Linked DNA regions of Pelodiscus sinensis. The protein of the gene in region 2 interacts with the protein of the main gene of each other region in a biochemical or structural test. Links are inferred from orthologs where the notes say so. Each region holds a gene or a part of one and is shown on either strand. Other genes may lie near its edges.

What was found.
Region 1: the proteins of SMAD1 (region 2) and SMURF2 form a complex in vitro, tested with the Homo sapiens proteins (2 studies listed by BioGRID and IntAct, with this or other methods). The link is inferred for Pelodiscus sinensis from reciprocal best matches to the Homo sapiens genes SMAD1 and SMURF2.
Region 3: of the proteins of SMAD1 (region 2) and ACVRL1, one has a biochemical effect on the other in vitro, tested with the Homo sapiens proteins (2 studies listed by BioGRID). The link is inferred for Pelodiscus sinensis from reciprocal best matches to the Homo sapiens genes SMAD1 and ACVRL1.

The regions. Positions count from the first base shown.
Region 1 is NC_134730.1:20,923,907-20,931,819, forward strand, and holds the start of SMURF2 (E3 ubiquitin-protein ligase SMURF2), read right to left. Parts: upstream 3,086-7,913; 5' UTR 2,766-3,085; coding exon 2,714-2,765; intron 1-2,713. UniProt on the Homo sapiens protein: E3 ubiquitin-protein ligase which accepts ubiquitin from an E2 ubiquitin-conjugating enzyme in the form of a thioester and then directly transfers the ubiquitin to targeted substrates.
Region 2 is NC_134715.1:51,249,444-51,257,520, reverse strand, and holds the start of SMAD1 (mothers against decapentaplegic homolog 1), read right to left. Parts: upstream 3,084-8,077; 5' UTR 2,919-3,083; intron 1-2,918. UniProt on the Homo sapiens protein: Transcriptional modulator that plays a role in various cellular processes, including embryonic development, cell differentiation, and tissue homeostasis.
Region 3 is NC_134729.1:5,532,179-5,539,408, forward strand, and holds the start of ACVRL1 (activin receptor type-1-like), read right to left. Parts: upstream 3,003-7,230; 5' UTR 2,365-3,002; intron 1-2,364. UniProt on the Homo sapiens protein: Type I receptor for TGF-beta family ligands BMP9/GDF2 and BMP10 and important regulator of normal blood vessel development. On ligand binding, forms a receptor complex consisting of two type II and two type I transmembrane serine/threonine kinases.

The DNA.
Region 1 (7,913 bases), on a different chromosome or scaffold from region 2:
TGTGCAGGGCAGGGCAAGGAGAGGAGGGGGCGCTGATCTCTGGGTGCTTCCTCACCCACCCTATATTCTAGCTCCACAGAATGGAGGAGGGGGCACAACAGGGCTTGGGATGGAGGGAGTTTGCTGGCTGCTTTTGAGAGTGGTGCAGGGCCAGGACAAAGGTGAGCCTGCCTTAGCCTCACTGCACTACCACCCAGGAGCCACCTGAGGTAAGCAGTGTCCAGCTAGAGCTAGCTCTGAGCCCCTACTCCAGGTCATGAACCCTTCCTGCACCCCAAGCCCTTGCTCTAGCCCTGAGCCCCTGGATCCAAACTCCCTTACAGAGTCTGTACCCCCACTCCCTGCCCTAGGCTCAGCTCAGAGCCCTTCTCACACGCCAAATCCTTTAGCCCAGGACCAGAGCAGGTGCCCCATCTCTGCCACTGCCTGATGAAAAGGAAGGAGAATGGGAGAGAGAGGGGGGAGTGATCAGGGGCAGGACATTGGAGAAGGGGCACAAAGAAGGGGGGCTATCTGGATTTGAGGTAGATCCTGGATTGCACTTAAATTCAAAAAAGTGATCTCATGCTTAAAAAGGTTGGAGACCAGTGGTCTAGAGTTTTCCATTAGGCCAAGGCAGGATTATAGAGCATTTTTTTAAACTCACCTTAGTTTCTCTGAGCTCAGTCAAAAAGCAAGGAGCCACAGACACAAAAGTGCAGAACAGTATTTTTAAACTAACACTGTCCCACATATCAGTCCAGCTCCACTCATTTCCAAAGTTTATTTCTAAGGAGTTCACCACCTGGGCAGTATCCTGGCCCTGCATAAAAACCCCTTTTACAAGATTAATCTAAATAAGTTCCAAAATAGAATGTAAGCAATTATAAGAAAAAAATCTACATGATCTAGAAAAAAGCCATTTTTCTCTACTTCGAATTTTAAAAAATTAAAATGCGGTAACTTTAATTTTTTTATTAGAAGTTAACTGAAAATACTGCACATACCATTAAAATTACATAATTTAAAAAATGCAGCAACTATTTTTAGACTTTTTTGAAAGAACTAATAGCTGTGCCTTACAAAATAAGTTAACTAGGTTCAATAAGTTGTTGGAAGACAAACTATTTTTAATACTTTTCTTAAATCTTGTATTTTCATATACTGAAGTCACAATTTAGAGTACAAAATGTGTTTTCTCAATTTGCTGTTTCCTCGCAAGTCTTCAGTGATTATTTTTCAAAGGCAGACAAGCTTTATTCATATTTATAAGTGTTTCTCCATATTTATCTACTTACATTGCCCTCATCACTACAAAAGGAGCTCATTCCAAGTATTCAGAAACAGATAATGTTTTCCTTCCTTTCCAGAAGACAGACTGAAATAGTTTACTTTTACATTTATGGTGTAAACTAAACATTTTTAAAGGCCATGGGTTTTTTAAGGGCTTTTTTCCTACAGTATGATGGCCTATATCCTATGAATTGTTTACAATCTCAACTGAGGAAACTGGCTTGAAAACAGCAACACAAAAGATCAAAACAAAGGGCCTGATAGTTCGACGATTACACAGAGAAGACGGAGAGGGTGAGAAACAACCTAAGGTACAATGAGTGGTCCTGTGGCACCTTAGTGACTAGCAAAAAAAATATAATATCATCATCTGACAAAGTGGGTCTTACCTACAAAAGCTCATAATACTATACATTTGTTAGCCACAGGACTACTCATTGTTTGTTAAAAAAAAAAAACTTAGAAAGCAACGAATAGTCCTGCAGCACCTTAGAGACTAACAAAAAATGTAGATGGGATCATGTCTTTTATGGACACAATCCACCCATGATCCCATCTACATTTTAGTTAGTCTCTAAGGTGCTGCAGGACTATGTGTTGTTGTTAAGTTTTTTTTCTATTACAGATTAACAGCGACCCCTCTGAAACATTGTTGTTCAAGTAACAACACACACAGCTACTCCTCTGAGACAGCCTAAGGTACCTACCAAAAAGTTACAATGGCCTCCCTAAATACTACAACATATTCAACAACAACAACAGAGAGAGTGGTCCGGCATTTTACAGAGAAATACATCTAATGAGCTCAGGTTTAATCGAGATTCTGATTGAGGGAGGCGAGGGGCTCCACTACCTCCACCTCACCCCACACACACTGCCCAGGGCTTCACCTCTCCTCCTAACCCAGGCGTGTTTACTACCCTAGAGTAAACAATCCTATCGTGGCCACAGCAACGTGTCCCACGGGCGACGGGCAAAACCGTGGCCCACGGACCCCCCTGCTGAGAGGAGGGAGGCAGGGAGTTTACTTCTTGTTTCCCCTGAGGCCTCTCCGTGCCCCAGGTTCAATCTCAAAGACACATGGAGGGAGCTCGGTCCCACCCACCCCTCCAGCTGGACTTGCGGGGCTTAGACAACAGAGAAAGGGGCTTCCCCGGGGTCTCTCCTTTCACACCCCCACTCCCTTCGCAGCCACACTCGCCCGCTCTGCCCCCCCCCCAGCTCCCTCACCCCAAATCTTCACCCCCCCCCCACCTTAGCCACGACGGCCCCCGCCCAATTCGACCCCTACCCTCCTGAACCACCGACCCCCTTCTCCCCACCAGGCTCCCCCTCAGCCGCCTCCCCCCTGCCCGTCTCCTCACAAAGCCCGGCGCTTGGCCCCCCCAGCCGCCCGCTCTCCGCCACCCTCTCCCGCCTTCCGTCCCCGGCCCCTCCTCACCTGTCAGTCGCAGCTTGACGGGCCCGTTCCTCCGGGCCCCCTGGTTGGACATGTCTCCGGCCGCGGCTGGGGCTCGGCGCTGCCTTCGCCCGGGCTGCCCCTGCCGCTGGGGCCGGGTAGGAAGCGGGGAGGCGCTAATGGAGTCGGGCTGGGCGCTCAGGGCAGCGGCGGCGGCGGCCGCCGGACGAAGAGAAGCCCGGATGTGCCCAGCGTCGCCATAAGCGGGGCCAGCGCCGAGGAGGAGGCGCCGCCGCCGCCTTCCCCCGCCCCCTGCCCGGGGCCCTGGCGGCGAGCACAACAAAGCCCGGGACAGCGCGTTACCGCGGCGGCAGCCGCCTCCCTTCCTCCGGGACGGAGCCTGCTCGCCGCTTCGCGCCCAGTGGGGGGTGGGGGCCCCCGTCCCAGTCCCCGCTGCTCTCCTGCCCCTGCGCTCCTCCTCAGGACCTCACTGCCCCGGGGGAAGGGCTGCGTGTCCCGACTGTGTCCCCCCCCCCCCACTGGGATGCCCCCAGGGCCTCACTGCCCCGGGGGGGGGAGGCGGTGTCTGTCCCCTAAGAGCCCCCCCCCGGGAATGCCTCCATGTCCTCACTGCCCCTGGGGGAAGGGGTGCCTATCCCCATTGTGTGCCCCCCCCACTGGGATGCCCCCAGGGCCTCACTGCCCCGGGGGGGGGGGAGGCGGTGTCTGTCCCCTAAGTGCCCCCCCGAATGCCTCCATGTCCTCACTGCCCTGGGGGGAAGGGGTGCCTATCCCCATTGTGTGCCCCCCACTGGGATGCCCCCAGGGCCTCACTGCCCCTGGGGGAAAGGTGGTGTCTGTCCCCTAAGAGCCCCCCCCCCCGGGAATGCCTCCATGTCCTCACTACCCCGGCGGGGGAAAGCCGGGGTCTGTCCCCTAAGTCCCCCCCCCCCAGAATGCCTCCATGTCCTCACTGCCCCAGCAGGAAGGCGATGTCTGTCCCCTAAGTGCCCCCACCCCGAATGCCTCCATGTCCTCACTGCCCCGGGGGGGAAGGGGTGCCTATCCCCATTGTGTGTCCCCCACTGGAATGCCCCCAGGGCCTCACTGCCACTGAGGGATAGGGGATGTCTGTCCCCACTGTGTGCCCCCTCCTCCTGGAATGCCCTCATGTCCTCACTGCCCCTGGGGGAAGGGGGTGCCCCCACTTCAAGGGAGTGTCTGTCCATTACTGCCTCCCCCCCCACTGGGATGCCCCCAGGCCCTCACCAGTGTTCCCTCTAATTTTTTCCACCCCTGAGCTGAGTGAATTTTCTGATGTGTGCCACTCAATACATCGTCTTCATATTGGTGCACATCACAAAATTAATGTGGTGGGAGTGGAGTCAAGGGGTTCTGAGTGCAGGAGGGACCACTGGGCTGGGGCAGATGATTGGGGGTGCAAGGGTTCTAGCTGGGGATACAGACTCTGGGGTAAGGCTGGGGGTGTTGGGTTTGGGATGCAGGAGGGGAAAAGACTAGGAGTTGGTGTGCAGGAGGGAGTATAGGTTCTGGCTTGGGCGTGCAGGCTTTGGGATGGGCCAGGGAATGAGGAGTTTAGGGTGAAGGAGGGGGACAACAGTTTTGGGGAAGAGCTGAGAGTTGGTGTGCAGGAGGGGGTGCAGGCTCTGGCCTGGGGGTGTGGGCTGTGGGATGGGTCTGGGGGTGAGTGGTTTGGGGTGCAGGAGAGTGCTCAGGATTGAGGGGAGTCAAGGGGGGACCAAGGTTTAGGGCTCAAGCTTACCTGGGCTGCTCCTGCTGGGAACAATGAGGAGTGGACCCTTTCCCCTGCTCACCTCAGTGCTGGTGTCAGCGGTGAGGGTCCCCAAATGCTGACCTGAGAGACTCGTATCTCATAATGGGCCAAATAGCTTGGGAAAATATAGGCATAAATCATTTTATTGTGAGTCAAGGGGTAGAAAAAAGAGTAAGCAATTCTTACTGTGAGGTGAGATACAGCTTTATATACTGAAAAATCAAAGATTCAAAAGTAAAACAACTTTATGGGATACAAGGTTGGAGCTAGATCGTGATACCCGTTTCACCTAAATTTATATCCTGTTTTGCTAGTAGGATGAGACTACTGATGGAAGGTACTTTTCTAACCCATCTTACAACTCAGAAAATCCACTATTTATGTGTGATTGAGTTGCAATAGAAAAGTCAGGGATATTCCTACACCCCTCTGAAATTCAAAAGACTGCTATAGCTACATCCCAATTCTATTTAATGGTGTAATGCTTCTGTCTTTAGGCTCCCAAAGAATTCCAGGCCTTTCAACACACTCAACAGCAGGGGCACTCTAAAGCAGGGAGAGGATTTAAGGGAGGGTATCTCAATGAACAGCCGAAGAGGCAACTTTCAAAAGTGTCCTAAATTAATGAGACAATCCTGGGACCAACATGACTATAACTACATTGCATACCCTAAATTAAGGAGAACATTTAAGTAGCTAAGAATGAGCAAGGTACTCCCACTTAAAATTATGATTTGGAGATGCCATTGTAACATTTTCATGAAGACTGAGATAGTGAGGAAACTACTGGCTTTGTAAGCAGACCGCTACTTATATCTGATACTGTTTCTGATTCTCACCCAACTAGTTTCATTATATAGGTCCTATGTAGCTCAGGCACTTAGCACTGTACAACCTGTAAAACTAGAATACTAATGAAAACATAATATTCAGTACTAAAAATCCAGACAAAACTATATCCTCAATACTCAATATATACTTTTCCTGATAAGTTGTATTGCTTTGTACACCTATACAAACTGAATGACCTCTCCATTATCTGGCTCAATGCAAGAGATTCCACTCCAACATTTCTGCTACAACTACATCCTATATAATAGCTGGTTTAATTAGAAGACTACATTTTTGCCTATGAGGTGAATGTTTTGGCTTTTTATTTTTTAATTTAATCAATTTAAGAATTTTATTTTTCCTTAGGGTTTCATTCAGTACACACTTATCATAGTTCTGGGTTGTACTGGACCTAAAGAAACCACCCAACTTTGGAGTCCCATATTGTTCTTCCATTTGAGGAGGACAGATGGCAGAACTCCCAGTCCAGGGTATAAGAAAATGAGATCAGAAATTGAATCTAGACAGACTTCCACATGGTAGTGCAGAATACTGAGCCACTGGTTTATCCATTATGTTAAACTAGTCTAATGTTTTTAGTATTTCATTTCCTTTTGTTTATTTTTAAAAGTAGTATTGTAAGAATATGTAGGGCAGAGAAGGAAGATCATACTGGCATAACATCAATGTCTGACGTACCTATATTTAAAATAAAACCTTCAATTGATAATATGCTGTATAGCACTATGCAGAAGCTACATAAATGTGTATTAGCAAATACATTTGTCATATTTCTTCAGGGCAAAGATTGTTTCTTTCATGTTTGGACAATGCCTTAGACATTGTACCACTATAATATTCATAATCTATTTAAATTCACATAGGATCTTGCTATCTGCAAAGTTTAATTTCAGAATCAAGTGTTCATTAAAAACAAACAAAAACTCTATCTGCTTTATTTATGCACTAGTTTGTAACTGTTTTTGCCAAAACCTACAAGATTTTGCTAGAGAATGTCCCTTGCCCCTCCTTTCAACACAGAATTCATGATTTGCAATTCTCACTGTAAATTATTCTTGAACATGGCTTTTTGATATATCTGGGAATTGTGCAAGATCTTTTGGAAGAGCTTTTTAAGCCCTAGAGAGGCTATCAGAAGAATTATACATTGTACCTGGATATTGTATAAGATACTGCTATTGACATAATTCCACTGGGTCATTCTTACCTCAATAAAACCATTATGAGTCTTCCCTTTACACTGTTTGGAATGAGTGGTTCTTTGTGTTATTAAAATTTTTATGAAAGGTGCACATATTCATATTACAGCTGCTTTTCAACATTAAATAACTAAATATTTTTCTGAAACCAAAGAACATGGGCAGAGTTATTGTTTGAGAAACTCATTCTTAAAGAAATATAAAAGCTTTTTAATACTGGTCAAAGAATCTGAAAACACCAAAAATATTTTTATCCCTCTTTTCAGACAATCGGTGGTCTTGTTTTTCACAGGTGCTGGGCATCTCTGATCTAAAGCCCATTGAAGTCAATTAGCTTCTTTTCATTTATTTCTATGGGTTTTGGATCAAGCCACTAGTAGTTAGCTTCAAAACACACTGAAATTCTGCTTCCCTAGGATCTCACACAGGCTGAAGAGCCAACAGTAGGAAAGGAGTCTAAGGCCTAGTTTCACAAAGGTACTTGGGGCATCTAAATACCAGATTTGGCTCCACTGTGATCTGCAAAACCCACATATAACTCTTAAGAAACCTAAACTTACTCAGCACCTACTTTTCCAGGATAAAAGTTCCTTAGGCACCTACTTTTCTGCCTCTAGCTATGTGCTGTTCTACCTTACTCTAAGGCTACGTCTAGATTGCATCCCTTTTTCATAAAAGGGATGCAAATTAGACGTATCGCAATTGCTAATGAAGCGGATTTTTAAATCTCCCCCGCTTCATTAGCATAAAAATGGCTGCCGCTTTTTTTCGGCACAGAGTTTTGCCGGAAAAAAGCACCAGTCTAGATGCGGATCTTTCGGAAAATAAAGCCTTTTCTGAAAGATCCTTTATCCCTTATTTTAAGAGGAATAAGGGATCTTTCGGAAAAGGCTTTATTTTCTGAAAGATCCGTGTCTAGACTGGTGCTTTTTTCCAGCAAAACTCCGTGCTGAAAAAAAGCGGCAGCCATTTTTATGCTAACGAAGCGGGGGAGATTTAAATCCCCACTTCATTAGCAATTGCGATACGTCTAATTTGCATCCCTTTTACGAAAAAGGGATGCAATCTAGACGTAGCCTAAGGCTATGTCTACACAGTAGCATTATTTCGGAATAACTTGCATTATTCCAAAATAACATAGTCCTCGTCTATACAGAAAGCAGTTATTTTGACATGTCAAAATAATGTCGAGCTGGAGGACTTCTTACTCCAACTCCTGTAACCCTCATTTTACAAAGAGTAAGGGAAGCTGGAGGAAGAGCGCTCTAACTCAAGACTTCCTGCTGTGTAGACAGCGCCAAAGGCAAAATAAGCTATTTCAACTTAAGCTACAATTGACGTAGCTCAAGTTGCGTAGCTTATTTCTGCTTTAGCCATGCTATGTAATCGTGCCCTC
Region 2 (8,077 bases):
TGGTCATATAGCTCAACATCTGACCAAGACACAGTATACCACTCAGTTCTACAGAGACATTTCAACAGATATGCTCAGAGTCACTACTTCTGATAAAGATCACTAGTAGACTGGAAAAAGTGTTAAACTGTTTGCCTGCTTTCATCACTTTGCTGTTGTATTGTGAAGTAAAGCCTGATCATATTTGAACCTCAAACTGTATATAATTCAGCGTTTCCTCCAATCCAATAAGAGATATGGTCATTCCCCATTTCAGGTGCTAGTGACTGTGGAAAAGTGGTTAATCAGGACACATTTGTGCTTCAAAATTTCAATTTTGATTTCTATTCGGTGTTTTAAGTTACACATATAGTGCTCTTTAACTTCTCCAGCACCCATTTTTGAAGCATAACACCACACCACACATGGTTGCTTTGGTGCCCCCATAATGTGGTTTAATTATGATGACTGAACTAATAGGCTCACATCACAGACTTTTACAGGTTGACCCCATGTCATTCTGATGTATCATTTTGCACCAGTTCAGTGCTGTAAATCAATTTAAGATCTCCAGCAGGCTGAAAAGGCTGGTAATGATGCTTTCTCTGCAGTCCCTGAGGACTGCACATTATACACAACTTACATTATTTATAAAGCTGAGATGATGCCTCCATTAGCCTTGTAAGACTACAGAAGTGAAGGCTTTTATGTACACACACAACTTGAACTAGAATATGACAACATCCCAACTTATTACTCAGATGTTTTTTAAAACATGGCTTCAAAATTTCAGTATTTAACTTGCACACGTAGAGAGGCTTCGAATTTAAGGAGAGTCTGTAAAAATCATTCCAGTAATTACGAACTGGAGCAGCAATGTTATCACCTGTCTCTATGTTTCATCCCTTTATTTACTAGTTTGAATTGAACACTAATTTACCATCAACTCTCAAAGATGTGAATTGATAGCCACTACTTACACAGAAACTGCTTATCTAGTTTCTTTTCTCTATGCTATTGGATCAGACGACCTTAAAAAAAATACATAAAATGAAAAGTAGACAATAGCATAAAGAAAAAAAGTGTATTTGATTACATATCAATGAAATGGAGGGGGTCAAAATAAAGCAAGGACAAATCCCCATCCTTAGAGTAACCTGATCTTTCCTTGAACTGATCCTTATAGGTTCCTGGATCACCCACCTCCAAAGAAATCTCTGTCAAGATCCTAGTTACAGTGTGAAATTAACTACAAATGAGAGACTGAACAGCCACACAGGAATATCAAATTAATTGGTTAAGTATTTTTCATCTAAAAATTAAAAAAAAAAACTAAAGTCAGCCACTGTAAAGAAATGACAAAAAATGAAGTATTTAGTATTTATAAAAGGTGTAATGAGAATCTTCTACCAACTGCCCAGCACAGAACTCCTATACAGATTGATATTTTTATGTTGCAAGTTGGAACTGGAAGCAAGCCTTCAATACATCTAATGCAGTCATAGACAAGATTAAAATCAGTTTTAACAGCAAGTTTCTTTACAGATTTACTCTCCTTGTTTCACACACTGCATGAAGACATAAAGAAAAGTGGTCTTTCCGGGTTGTTATACTCAGTTCGAAGTTTCATGTTGTGTAATGTACAAAAATCACACACAAGCTAAGTCTTACATACATGGAAGTAGTCAGAGGAGGCAAGGGATGCCAGGTTTTACATGCAGACCTGTCAAACATACCCTTTTACCTAAAATGCTCCATCTGCCAAAAATAAGGATGGATAGGTTTGTTTTTATTTGAAATAATGAAAAAAGGAAAATTAGATGTTTCTGACCATTAAATGCTCCACCCAAGAAAAGCAGAATTGCACCTATTCCATGATGCATTGGTTATTTTTCATAAATATACATACACAAAAAACCCTCTTCCTAAAAGTAAACTATAAATAAGCATACATTCTATGAGCAAACTGCAAAACCAGCCTGCACATCTTCTGTAATTAGATTAACTACTAACAAAAGGACAAATACTACAGTTCTTAATCAAAACTCGGATTGTCTTCATTAAAAACATTAGGGTCTGGCCCAGCTACTTTAAAAAGCACAACTGAACACTTGTACACCGGCATATCGTAGTAAAATTTAAAGATACATATGTAGCTGGATAATCTCATCCTGTCAAACTATAAGTAAATTGAAAATCACGTAGAAGAAAAATCACATGCAGTGAAACCGCTTAATAATCAGAAGAATTTTAAGTGAACTTTCCTTGACCTCTAAACAAATCTTGTTGCAAAAAGTTAAATCCATTAGGAGGAACAAAGACTTGGATTAGCCAAGTCATTAGAGAAATGCCTTCCTCAAATAAAAACAAAGGGCATTTGCCTTGTGTTAGCCAAAGCTTTTCAGAAACTGTTGCAAGTTTCTCCCACTTGGCTTTGAACACAATGGAGCCAGGACAAAAGTCTGAAGCAGCAGGATTTTCTAATGAGAAGGGGAAAAAAGGGAGAGAGGAAGAGGGAAGGAGAGAGCTTTTGGTAGGGCTATTTTCTCTTCCTCCAGTCCAACAAAGAAACTCCCCAGAAACTTTAAACCAAACAAGGCAGCAAAGCAGAAAGCAAAGAAGTCACAGGTTTCTCTCCGGGCTCCCGCAGAGACGCCATCATGCTGGAGAAAAGCCCCTGTCCCCCCCGCAAAAAAAAATCCGTCCCTCCTTGCTCCGTGGTGAAAAGCAGCCCCGACCTGAGCCAGAGACTGGGAATAGCCCGGGGGTGGGGGAAACAAGGCAAAGCGCAGCCACCATTCAAACCACTTCCCTGGCTGCAGCAAGCCCTGCCCGGCCTGGGCCAGCCAGCAAGCCCTAGGACGCGGCGGCGGGGGAAGAAGGGTCCCCGCCCAGGCAGCGGCTTGGGAGAAACCGGCAAAGAAACGCGAAGTTGTTACCGGCGGCGGAGCGGGAAGAAGAGGCGCTGCTGCTGCTGCTGCTCTTACGGTTCCAGCCGCCAGGCAGCCCCGCACTCGCTCTGCCTCTGCGCCTGGATTGATCTGGTCTCACTGGCGTCAGGCAGTCGGAGCCGCCCAGCCTCCACTTACCCCACTGCCAATATAACACACACACCAGCCGGGCGAGGGATCCTCTCCAAATTCCCACCCCCGCCAGCAGCTGCAGCTGCCTTGGGGCCCCTCTGGGTCGTGCTCCTCCTGCATGGCTGGATTAATTTGGTGTGTTAGGAACCGGCTCCTAGGGTTCCGAAATCCGGAACGTGGCTTCTTAAAAAGCACGGGTTAAAAAAAAGTCATATATTTGTGCTACTCTTTTATTTTCCATCGAGGTCTTATGGGTACACACACTTGCTAGTTTTCACATGTCCCCCTGCACACAGGAAGGCTGGTAACTTTTGCATTTATTATTAATTATTATTATTATTTTATTAAAGTTGTTCTCACCACAGTCTCGGGTTCCCAGGAGTTGTGCAATGTCCTCTATGCTCGGGCAGAGATTCCCCGTAGACCTCATGCGGGAAGCAGAGGAAAGTTGGGGAGAGAGAAAGGAGACTGAGCAGCTTGTCTACACGGAGAAATCTCCTGCCATAAATTCAATGTGTGTAATTATCCCACTATTGTAATTTCCCCATGGAAATAAGACCTAAATATTGTAGATTAGCCTGATTTTTAAATACAGATTAATTAACAAATAACAAGGTTTAAAGGTCCTGATGCTGCCTATACTTTTGCACAGGAGTAATTTTACACTTGTGAGGAGTAGGTGTAATTTTTACACCTGTCCTGGATTACTCACATATATAGAGTTATTCACGGGTGTCAGGCCATGTCTACATTATGGGTGCTACAGAAGCATCCCTACAGGGCCACAAACACACCACTGTAAAACCACAGTGTAGACACAGCATAAGGGGAGAGAACACCTCCTCCCTAAGCAACAGTAGCTACGCTGACAGAAACATTCTTGCATCAGTCTACAGCAGGGATTAGGTCACCGAAGCTACCAGTGGGGAGAGAACACCTTCTCCCTAAGCAACAGTAGCTAGGCTGACAGAAACATTCTTGCATCAGTCTACAGCAGGGATTAGGTCACCGAAGCTACCAGTGGTCAGGTGTATAATGATTTTTCACACCACTGAGTGCCTTAGCTATGTCAACCTACATTTTAAGTGCTGACCAGGCCTCTGTATCTGCAGGCACTTCACCTAATTGAGTTGCCCAAGATGGCAAAAGAACCCTGTGGGAGAGGTAGAAACAGAACCTCTAGTTGTCTGGTTCCTAGACCTCTGCCACAAAAATCACTTAATCGGATGTACTTTTACCATGAAAGCACATGAGCCTATACCTTTGTTAGTGTAAGGTGCCACAAGAGTACTCATTATTAAAGTTACAGACTCACACATCTACTCCTCTGAAATATTTAAAGGAATGCCACTTTTCCAAATATGATAAGTGTTCTCAGTTTCTGGGATTCTTACTGTGAGATCAGAATTTACATGCATATTACGATGGATGATTTCTAGTTAAAAATCAGCCTGGCTGCAGATGTTTCATTAGGCTTATTCCACAGACTTCTGTTACACATGGGGGCTTCTACTGATGACAACATTGTGCTGAACTCCCTAGTTTTGCTTCACGTTATCTTTGCCAAATGTTTGCCAGGTGGATAGCCAACAATCCACAGCATTCTCATGAAGTGTTGTTCCATATTGACCAATGGAGAACTTTTTACCTGAATCAAATTAGCTGAAACTATTTTCTTATCAGTCATTTTGTATTTTGCACAGACCAATATATAAATGAATGGAAGTGGTGCATTTTCTAAGAGGAAAAGGGCATTTTTCTCTCTTCAGAAATGAGAATGGATTTTTCACAATTGTAGCTGGAGTTCTGCAATTTCACATTTGATTTCTGCCTGCAGCTTAGTAGCAAAACAATACTGGTAACATTACTGCCATCTCAACCCCCTATGACAACCCACTCCATCATTTATATAGGTTTAAAAAGTTAGAATAGGTGAGGAAGAGATATTAATGAATGTCACACAGACCACCTGCCTGTTACCATTAGTGAATATGAAAGAGGAAAGGCAAGCAACTATGTAAATCTGCTTGGGGAGGATGTCCCATATATGTCAGATAGCATGGAAGAAGGCCACAAAAGAGCTTGTAAGATGCTACCATAACTAGGAGAGCAAAGGGATATAAGAGATTAGATATATAAGGTGAAGCTAAACTATGAAGAGCCTTGAAGTTAAGGGCCACAGATGGTACTAAGACTGACCAGCTTTACTATCTTTTACCAGAAAGCTTTTGATCACAGTATGGAAGTCCACCTGCGTGGATTGTATTGCATAAAATGAACCTATCATTGTTGCCACATTTGCTACTATACCAACAAGAAAAAGGACCTTTAAGGAGGCCCACTGCACTCCTGAACATTCAATTTCTTCCTGAACTAGCCCACTATGATTAAGTAAGATTTATATAGAATAAACATGGAACTGATAACTTTATAAGATTATTAAACACATTTTTCTCTGTTATATTAAATAATACTTCCTCAGCAAATCTAACTGGAGATGACAAAGAGGTCTTTGATCGGCTTGAGTAATCATTCTTCTTTTCTACTGATGGGATTTGGACCAAAATTCATTACTTGTATAAGATTAATGTACCCAATCACAGCAGCCAAGATCCTTATTAATGGTTATAATTGCAAAAGTCTGCAGCTGAAACATAGTACTACACAGAGCTAACCCTTATCTCTCTTACTGTTTTCACTTATTATAGACTCTCTGATGCAAAGAATTCATTTCAGCAATGGTATTTTTGGTAAAGGAATAAGCAATATGGAACAGTAGATTTTATTAGATATGTTGAAGATATATAAATGTTTGCCAGTAAACCTATAGTGTTCCTAGCCAACATATTGAAGCAGTGTAACATTTTTAGAGAATTTTCTGGATTCAAAATGAATTATAATAAATCAGAGCCTCTCCCTCTAGACTTTGCCCAGGGCCATTCAGAGACCTTTGAAGATAATTTAACTTGGTTTTATTCACCACTTTAATTAGAAATATTGGAGTCCATGTAGCCAAAGATTCTTTGGACCTTTTTAAAGTAAGTGATCTCCCTTTAGCCACTCAACTTAAAAAATGTACATAACAAACCTAAACCTATTATTGGTTGTTTGGAAGACACCACAGTATTAAACTTTACTCCCATCTTAATTACCACTTTCCAGTTCTTATAGTCTCTGTTCCAACTGCGTCTCATTAACAAAACTGCCGTGCAGTATATTGAAATTCATGTACCCTCGTGTCAGATACAAACTTGAAGATTTTTTTGTTTATCAGAAGAAACTGACAATGGTTTGGCAACACAGGATTTTGGGTCCATGAGTTGACTAGTAAAGATATGGCTCTGAATATATCCCATATAAATATATGGCTTTCCTTCTACAATGTATTTATACCTTCATTAATCTAATTAACCCACTTATCAAATGATAAAAAGCACTGTGTAAGAGGTATGCATTATTATTTATTACTATTAATATTACTCTTTTCTAAACAAAGTTATTTCCATTTTGGAATGTATGTATGAATCATTTATTCATCAGGCATAACAGCAGGATTACGTGATTAGTGAGTGGAAGGTGAAATGAACAAATTCTAAAGTAGAATTGGAGATTAACTTTATTAATCTGAGCATTGGATAAGGGGCGCTGTTCCTGGCAGAAGGTACTATATAGAAAAAACCCCACAAGTGGGACATTTCTCTCTTATATGGTTAGACACCAAGGAAAGCCATTATGCTTCTGTTGCTCATGACCCAGCTGGATACACATAGAAATCCTGGCAAAATACTCATAATTAAGCCCTACATGTACAGCCACTCCCCGACTTACGAACACACTGACTTACGACCATCCATACTTACGATCAACCTCCCATTAACCCCATTATAATATTTTTCGAGTTGAGAACCATGTACGTCAAGTTTTTCGAACAGTGCAGGCAGCACGTTTAAGGGTATTTCCGACTTACGACCAAATCGAGTTACGACCAGGTGTTTGGAACGTAAACTGTTCGTAAGTTGGGGACTGCCTGTAATTAAAGATTGTATTATAGGCTGTTTCTAGACTGGCCAGTTTTTCCGGAAAATCAGCCGCTTTTCTGGAAAAACTTGCCAGCTGTCTACACTGGCCACTTGAATTTCCACAAAAGCACTGACTTCCTACTATAAAAATCAGTGCTTTTTGCGGAAATACTATGCTGCTCCCATTCGTGCAAAAGTCCCTTTTGCGCAAAAGGGCCAGTGTAGACAGCTGAGATTTGTTTTCCGCAAAAAAGCCGCAATCACGAAAATGGCGATCGGGGCTTTTTTGCGGAAAAGCGTGTCTAGATTGGCCATGGTCGCTTTTCCGCAAAAAGTGCTTTTGCGGAAAAGCGTCCGAGCCAATCTAGACACTCTGTTCCGAAAATGCTTTTAACGGAAAACTTTTCCGTTAAAAGCATTTCCGGAAAATCATGCCAGTCTAGACATAGCCATAGTGTATATACACCAGGGGGATGAATTAAGGCTGCTCAAGACAAGCTAATTCTAGCATTTTGCAATTGTTGAGTATGTTCAGTAGTTGATCTTGTGACTTTAAGAAAGTTACTTAATTATAGGTTTAGGGGTTTTGTTTCGGTGTATAAACAATACATAATGTATAGATGAAATTTGCATTTAGTATTATTCTACTTGCCTCTCAACAGTTTGTATTCTGTGTAATAAAAGAAATCAACATCCAAATATAGAAAAACATCCAAATATTGCAGTTGGTATTCTATTGTTTAACACCATGGTTAATTTTTATCACAATTAATTTTTGAGTTAATCATGAGTTAACTGTGACTAATTAAAGAGTTGTAATGACATTGCATTTTTACACAAGACTCTTGCCTCAGAAGTACTCAAAATGGATGGTGTTTCAAATAATGAGCAGCTATTCAATATTTTGCATTCTTCTTGTTTAATGTGTGGACCTGGTCCTTATGTATTGCATACTGTTCAAGCCCTGCTGTGAAGACAGAACTATTAATTTCCTCA
Region 3 (7,230 bases), on a different chromosome or scaffold from region 2:
AGGAACAAGACTCCTCAACAAAGCAATCCCCGTCCCCCCCAGTCAAATGAGATGCACGGTTTGTGCAGTCCCAGGCGCACCAGGGCGAGATCTAGGGTTAGCGCCCAGCAAACCCTGAGCAGAAAAGCCTCTTTTGTTTATCGCATGACCTGGTTCCTTATTTTTCTTCCCTGAGAATCAGTAGCTCCCAGCGCACATGAGCGCATGGCCCGCAACCCGTGTCAGCCCTGTGCCAGGAGGCAGCAGATGTAAGCAGTTTCCTGGACACAGCTGCTTTCGGCTGGTGTTGGAGGTGCCGAGGTTCCCCCTGAGGTCAGAGGCAGCCGGGGGAGTGCTCAGCCCTCGACAAACCAGGCTAGATTTGTTGCTAGATCATGGGTTGCTAGATCAAAAGCCCACTGAACTCAGTGGGAGTTTTTCTGTTTAGTTCAATGGGCTTCGAACCTAAATCGGAGACCTGCAGAGATTCCCCTCCTCCCTCCGGCCCATCAGTACAGCGCTGGCCGGGGGCACTGGGCAGTGACATCTACCACTGACGCTTTCGGGAGCTGGTCACTGGTGTGCTCCAAGGCACATGCTGTATCCCTAGGGCTGCAGACAATGCAGAGTTGGAGCCAGAGATCCGATTCACCTGGCTCCGAGGTCTAGTTCAGGCCCATTTCGGAGCTGAACGGAGCCCTAGAGGCTGCCCCGGCATTTGTTCCAGAAACATTGGCATGCCTGGTGCAACGTGCCCAGAGCCAGCAGATGCCTTGAGCAGCCGTGTTGCACAGCACGGGCTCTGTGCTACCCTGTGCTCCAGGCAGTTGCTACACTAGAAATCAGAGAAACAGGTTTTGTTATTTAAAAAAAAAAAAAGAAAATTAGCCCAGACGCCCCCTCCCCACCCACATGTTTATTTTCTCTTAAATTCTCTGTGGGAGAGAAACAGGAGGACCAGGCTGATTTTTGGTTTGTGCCGAGAACGGGAAAGGGATTTTTTTCGAGCCTGGAAGCTTTTTAGAAACAACAAACGCTGCAAAGCTCTCTGACCCCCTCCTGGGATGCGTGCCCCCTTCCAGCCCCGAATATCCTATCCAGCTACAGGACAGCAACAGCCCCTTCCTTGCACACCCCAGTGTTCCATTTGCTTTCTCCACATGGCGGGACATTACGCTAAGGCCGAGCTACCTGACTTTCTTTCCTGAGCAGTTTAGGAATTCTGTGCAGGGGAGGCGTTCTATCCTAGGCTGAATTTCATTTGCTACCATGTTGCCCGTTCCCTCAACTTGATTAGGTCCCTCTGGAGCTCCACACGGTCTTGCCTAACCTAAATCATTTTGTGTTCTCTGCAAATTGTGCACTCTGCCTGGTTTCCTTCGTTCCCAGATCAGTAATTAATATAATTAAATAACATCAGCTCCAAAATAGCCCCTGCTGGTAACTTGCTTTGGTGACCATCTCTTTGTAATCTTTGTTTTTCCATCTCTTACCCAATTTCTGACCCAAGATAGCCCTTTGCCTCTGATATCTGGGCTACTGAGCTGCCTCAGTAACCTCTTATGAGGAACTTTGTAAAAGGCCGTTTGGAAAGTCTAAATGAATCGTGTCAATTGGTTCTCCTTTGTCTGCTCTTTTATAGAAAACGGTCAGGAATTTGAATAGCTTGGTGAACAGAGTTTTCCTTTTCAGAAGCCGGGGTGCTTCGACTCTGTCATATCAATCATTTCCCAGTTCTTTGTAATTCCATCATCTCAACTAATTTACCAGAATTGAGTCTGCACTTTGCTACATTTCTCCTAACGCCTTTTGGAAATAGCTGCAAAACATTTGCTACTCTCCAATCCTACCGTCTGGCAGCAAGATTTTATTGCACGACTTGTCCCGCGCTAGATCCATTGCACAGCCTATCATGGTCGTTTACATAGTGTGTCATCTTCTGAAAAGGGACTCAGGGCCCGTTTCTGACTTCAGTTACCATGGTGTCAATCCAGAGCTATCCCACTGATGGCAACTGAGACAAGGCCTGATTCTAAGCGCAGCAGTGCAAGTCCTGCAGGCTTCAATGTGGTTACTCTGATTTATCTTCAAGCCACAGAGCATATCTCAGAAGCAAGCAGTGCCTGAAAGTGGATCTGAGTCTAAAGCGGAGAGTCTCTCCTCCATCGTGGAGAAAGGGGGACCCAAAGAACAGTCTGATGCAGGAAGCCAACTGGGGACAAAACAAAGGGGGTGAGGCCGGGGCTACAATATGGGGCAGCTGCTGTGAGCGAGCAGCGCTCTCCCGAGAGCTGAGGAGCGGCCCATTTAGTTGCACGCGTTCCGCTTTTGGTAGCAACCTGAGAATAGCCCGACACCCCCAGAGAGCAGTTCATTCCAACTCACCTACGGCTCCTTCCCTCTCATTGACAGCACCGGCCCAGAGGAGAGGCTGCGTGTGGGCGGGCAGGCTCTGCAGCGCCTCTGGAGACGCAACGGAACCCTGCCTGACCCAGATCCGGGCGTCTTCTATCCGGCTGTCTGTCTGCTGCCAGTGGGGCGGTGCTGACCGGTTCCCGGGGCCAGAGGCAATTCTCCTTCGGTTACAGAGTCTGGATCCCAGGCTTCGACGGACACGGTTCCAGCTCCCCCCAGGCGCTGCGAGCTTCCGCCTGAAGCAGATTCACGGGTCAGCCTCCGTCCTCCCCTCTCCACGCAGCAACCTTGCCAGATTTGCAAAGGGACGCTGGCCCGGCAGAGCTTTGGCTCTGGTGGTTACTCCAGCGGCTGTCGCCTGCCCTAGTTGGCGAGAGGGGAGTGTGCCTCTAGCTTCCCTCCCCAGTCCCAGGGGCTGGCCTCTCTCTCCCTGTGGCCCAAACGCGGCGGATTGGCAAGATCTCTGAGTTCTGGATGTGGGAGAAGTCAAAAAATGTTTCTTATTACTGCCTCTTCCTGCCTGGCTTTTCTCCACCACTCCCAGCTAATAAAGCATTTCCTATTGCTGAGCCTACAGCCACAGCCTAGCTCCCTTCCTCCTGCACACACCGGCCCCTGCTCCATCACGATTGTTCTCCCTCCCTCCCAGGCCCCGGCCAAACAACTCCCCCCCCCCCCCCCCGCCAGGGTGTGTGGCTAGGCCGTGTTCCCGGCCCTGCCTCAGTCTCCCGTCAAAACCAGCTCTGGGACCTGTGTCTGAACCCAGCCTCCTCAGGGAGCAGCCAGGAGCCTAGGGTTTGGCAGCAATCGAGCTGACTTAGTTTACTTGGCCGGAGTGGGAGCAGGCGAGGGCATTCTGGGAGCGATTCTGGTAGCTCAGGTGGGGCCAGTGTAGGGGTGACTTGTGAGTGGGGCTGGGAGGCAACTGGGGAACGTGTTAGTAGCAACGTATTGGTGAGAAGCTCTGCTCCTGTCACTCTAGACTGCAGGGTTTTTTTGAAAAAAGTGGCCTTTTTTCGAAAAACCTTCCCCTGCGTCTAGACTGCCGCCGCGTAAATGGAAAGAACGCGGCAGTTTTTTCGGCTGTGAAAAGCCTCGTTTTACGAAGAATAATGCCTTTTTTCGAAAAAAGGCGCTATGTCATGCAAACTGTGCTCTTTCGAAAGAGAGCATCCAGACTGCCTCGGTGCCCTCCTTCGAGAAAGCAGCTTGCTTTTTCAAAAGTACTAGTAGTCTAGATGCTCTTTTTCGAAAGAGGCTTGCAGTCTAGACATAGCCTCTGTGCTGAGCCCAGTGCCGTAGGGCAGGGCTAGGGGGCGCTGTGCTGCAAGTGACTCAGCAGAGGGCGCTCTGCCCTCACGGTCAATGCGGACCCCAATGATCCCTAGGGGGCGCTGTGCTGCAAGTGACTCAGCAGGAGGCGCTCTGCCCTCACGGTCAATGCGGACCCCAATGATCCCTAGGGGGCGCTGTGCTGCAAGTGACTCAGCAGGAGGCGCTCTGCCCTCACGGTCAATGCGGACCCCAATGATCCCTAGGGGGCGCTGTGCTGCAAGTGACTCAGCAGGAGGCGCTCTGCCCTCACGGTCAATGCGGACCCCAATGATCCCTAGGGGGCGCTGTGCTGCAAGTGACTCAGCAGGAGGCGCTCTGCCCTCACGGTCAATGCGGACCCCAATGATCCCTAGGGGGCGCTGTGCTGCACAAAAGTGCAGGGGTGCTCTCCCAGTGCCCCAGGGCAGGGCTAGGGGGCGTTGCGCTGCAGAAGTGCAGGTGCTCTGCCCGTATGAGAATGCTGCCCCCAGACGCCATTAGGGCTGGGCGTGCTGTCGTTCACAGGGGATGCTGAAGCCTAGTCCCAAAGACTCCAGGGCCCCTTTTGCAAGAGTCACATGTTAACCCTGGTGTTCAGATTCCCACGGGGGGAGGGGGGAGAGCTACTTCCGGCCTAACCACAAATGTCTGTGAAGTTGCTCTGTAGCACCAGGCTTGTGTGGGTGGCTGGCACAGCTGGCAGGGGCTCGAGGGGGACCGGAAACACCACTTCCCCTTTAGCCTTTTTAAATTCATTTTTCTGGGTCATTCTCAGTCAGCTGCTTCTCACTCTTCCTCTCTCCCATTCAGGGATCTCTCCTCCCACCTCGGGCCTCTCCCCGACTGCTCCATCCTGGCCTCGTAGCTCATCCATTGGGGTAGGAGCAGGGGGCGGGGGGCCACGGCTGGACCGGCATCGCCTCCTGTTTTGTAATGAAGTCACTGGCTCTCCCTCCCGTGTGACCGTGGAACAGCCTGGTATAACACAGTGGAGAGAGCTGTGCTAGGTCCCAGTGTAGACACAAAACTGAGCTGCAGAGATGTGATCTCTACAGCGATATCCTGGGCCCACACCTTGATAGCGGAGGGAAAGATGCTTACTTACAGTCACGCGGTGCTGGGACCAGAACCCAGGCATCCTGCTTGCTGTAGCCACTAGGCCGCCATTGCTCCCAGAGCGAGGAACAGAACCCGAGGGTCCCGACTCCCATCTACTGCCCTTATCCCCCTGTAACTAAAACTTTGATGCATCAGTTGCCTGTTTGGCCCTGCCCGCTCGTTTTTCCAGATCCCGTTTCATTCTGGTTTTCAGAACCTGCTGTTTCGGTCACAGGCAAATGGCCACATTTGACTCTTTGTCTGTGAAAGACTCTTGCCTGTGGGTAACCATGTGGCGCTTTCAGTTCCTTGCAGGTTGGGGGGGGCCGGATTTGTGGCCCCAGAGTCCCTGGAATTTGTGCAATAAACGGGGCCGCTGCTGTGCTGAGGGGGAGAGGAAGGCTGGGCCTGCAGAAAGCTGCCTGGGCCGCCTCTGGTTCTCCAATCTCATGCACTAGCTTTGCTCCTGCTCTGAAATCCCAGCAGCCTGATGAGAGCAGTGCCTCCCAGGGCTGTTCCTCGCCCGCCCGTGTCCCAGGGCGGCAGGCGCATCGTGTCCTACCTCGCTCAACGTGGAGCGCCCGGGAAATCCGACGGAGTCACGGGGACGGCCCGCCAGCTAACGGGAAGCTCAGCGCCGGCCGGCCTGGGGGTCTCGGGCTAGAAGGCCCAAAGGGAATGGGGGGCTGGGGGGGGGGTGGGGGGAAGGTTCAGACCATGAGAAAGGACAGCACAGTCTGGGCGGCGTAAGGAAGCAATTCTTGACTCTGGTTCTAACCAGCCAATGGCTGGAGCCGCTCCCCCTCCTCCATGCGGCCCTCTGGGAGAGAGGAGTTTGGCTCTTATATAGCACCACTGGATTCTTTTTTAAAAAGGTCGAGTTCAGGGCTCGTTAACTCATTGTTTGCTGGAGGAATGTATATAAATAGAGAAAGCCTCTTCAAAGGCATCAGGCCAACATGCCCACAGCCAGATAGACCATCCGGATGGGGCCAGCACGAGGGGGGCGGGGGCAGAGGGGGACAGGGAGATGTGGGGTGTTCAGGAGTCAGGCCACGCCTCTTCCTGACCCTGTTCCACCCCTGCCCTCCCACCCACATTGCACCCTCTCCCCCGAGAGATACGACACAAGAAATTACTGGGGGGCTGGTGCAGGGGGCAGCAGGGGTCGGGGGCTCCCCCTTTCACTGCGGCATAAAGCAGAGTGACCCAGCAGCCTGCTCTGCTCCACTGCCATCTCTCAGCTGGTAAATGGAGCACCCTGAGCCCTGCCACCTGAGAATGGTTGGAAATTGCATCAGGGCAGGGCCTCAGGGCCAAATTTCTGCTACACTCTGCCTCCAAACCCAGCCTCTCTTTGGAGACTCCCCCGCTGCTGGGAGAAGCCCAGGGCCTAGGATACACATTGGAGCCGTGGACAGCAGAGATGCACACACACTAGGGTGGCCATCGAGGTACCTCCAGAACAGAGGACACTTGCATAGAGTGCATAGGGGGCCCTGGACAGGGAGCTGTGGGGTGTTCAGGAGTCAGGCCGCAGGGGTGGGAGGGGGGGCAGGGCTGGGGGCTGTAAGTAGCGTTTCTAGATGATTTTGACAAAAATACCAGATACACCTGATCTCAGATGGGGGGGGGGGAGGAGCAGGGCTGGCGCGGGAGATCGAGGGGAACCGGCCGGTGGGGAGCAGGGCTGGCAGGGAGGAGGTTGGGGGGAACCGACTGGTGGGGAGCAGAGCTGGATGTGAGGAGGTCGGGGGGAGCAGGGTTGGTTGTGAGGAGGTCGGGGGGAGCAGGGCTGGTTGTGAGAAGGTCGGGGGGAGTGGGGGGAACCATCCAGTGGGAAGCAGAGCTGGCAGGGAGGAGGTCGGGGGGAGCGGGGCTGGCCAGGGGAGATCGGAGGGAACCATCCGGCGGGAAGCAGAGCTGGCAGGGAGGAGGTCGGGGGGAGCAGGGCTGGATGTGAGGAGGTCAGGGGGAGAAGGGCTGGTTGGGGGATATCGAGGGGAACTGGCCGGTAGGGAGCAGGGCTGGACGTGAGGAGGTCGGGGGGAGCGGGGCTGGCCGGGGGAGATCGGGGGGAACCGACCGGTGGGGAGCAGGGCTGGACGTGAGGAGGTCGGGGGGAGTGGGGCTTGCTGGGGTAGATCAGGGGGAACCAACCGGTGGGGAGCAGGGCTGGCAGGGAGGAGGTCGGGGGGAGCGGGGCTGGCTGGGGGAGATTGGGGGGAACCGACCGGTGGGGAGCAGGGCTGGCAGGGAGGAGGTCGGGGGGAGCAGAACTAGCTGGGTGGGGGGAAGTGGGGTGGGGAACCGTCCGGCGGGAAGCAGGGCTGGCCCGGGCACACGCAGATCCCAGGGCACTGCCCGTCCCACGCACGGTCCTGGCGGAGTGCACGGGTGAGTCTGGCCCAGGGGATTCCAGCC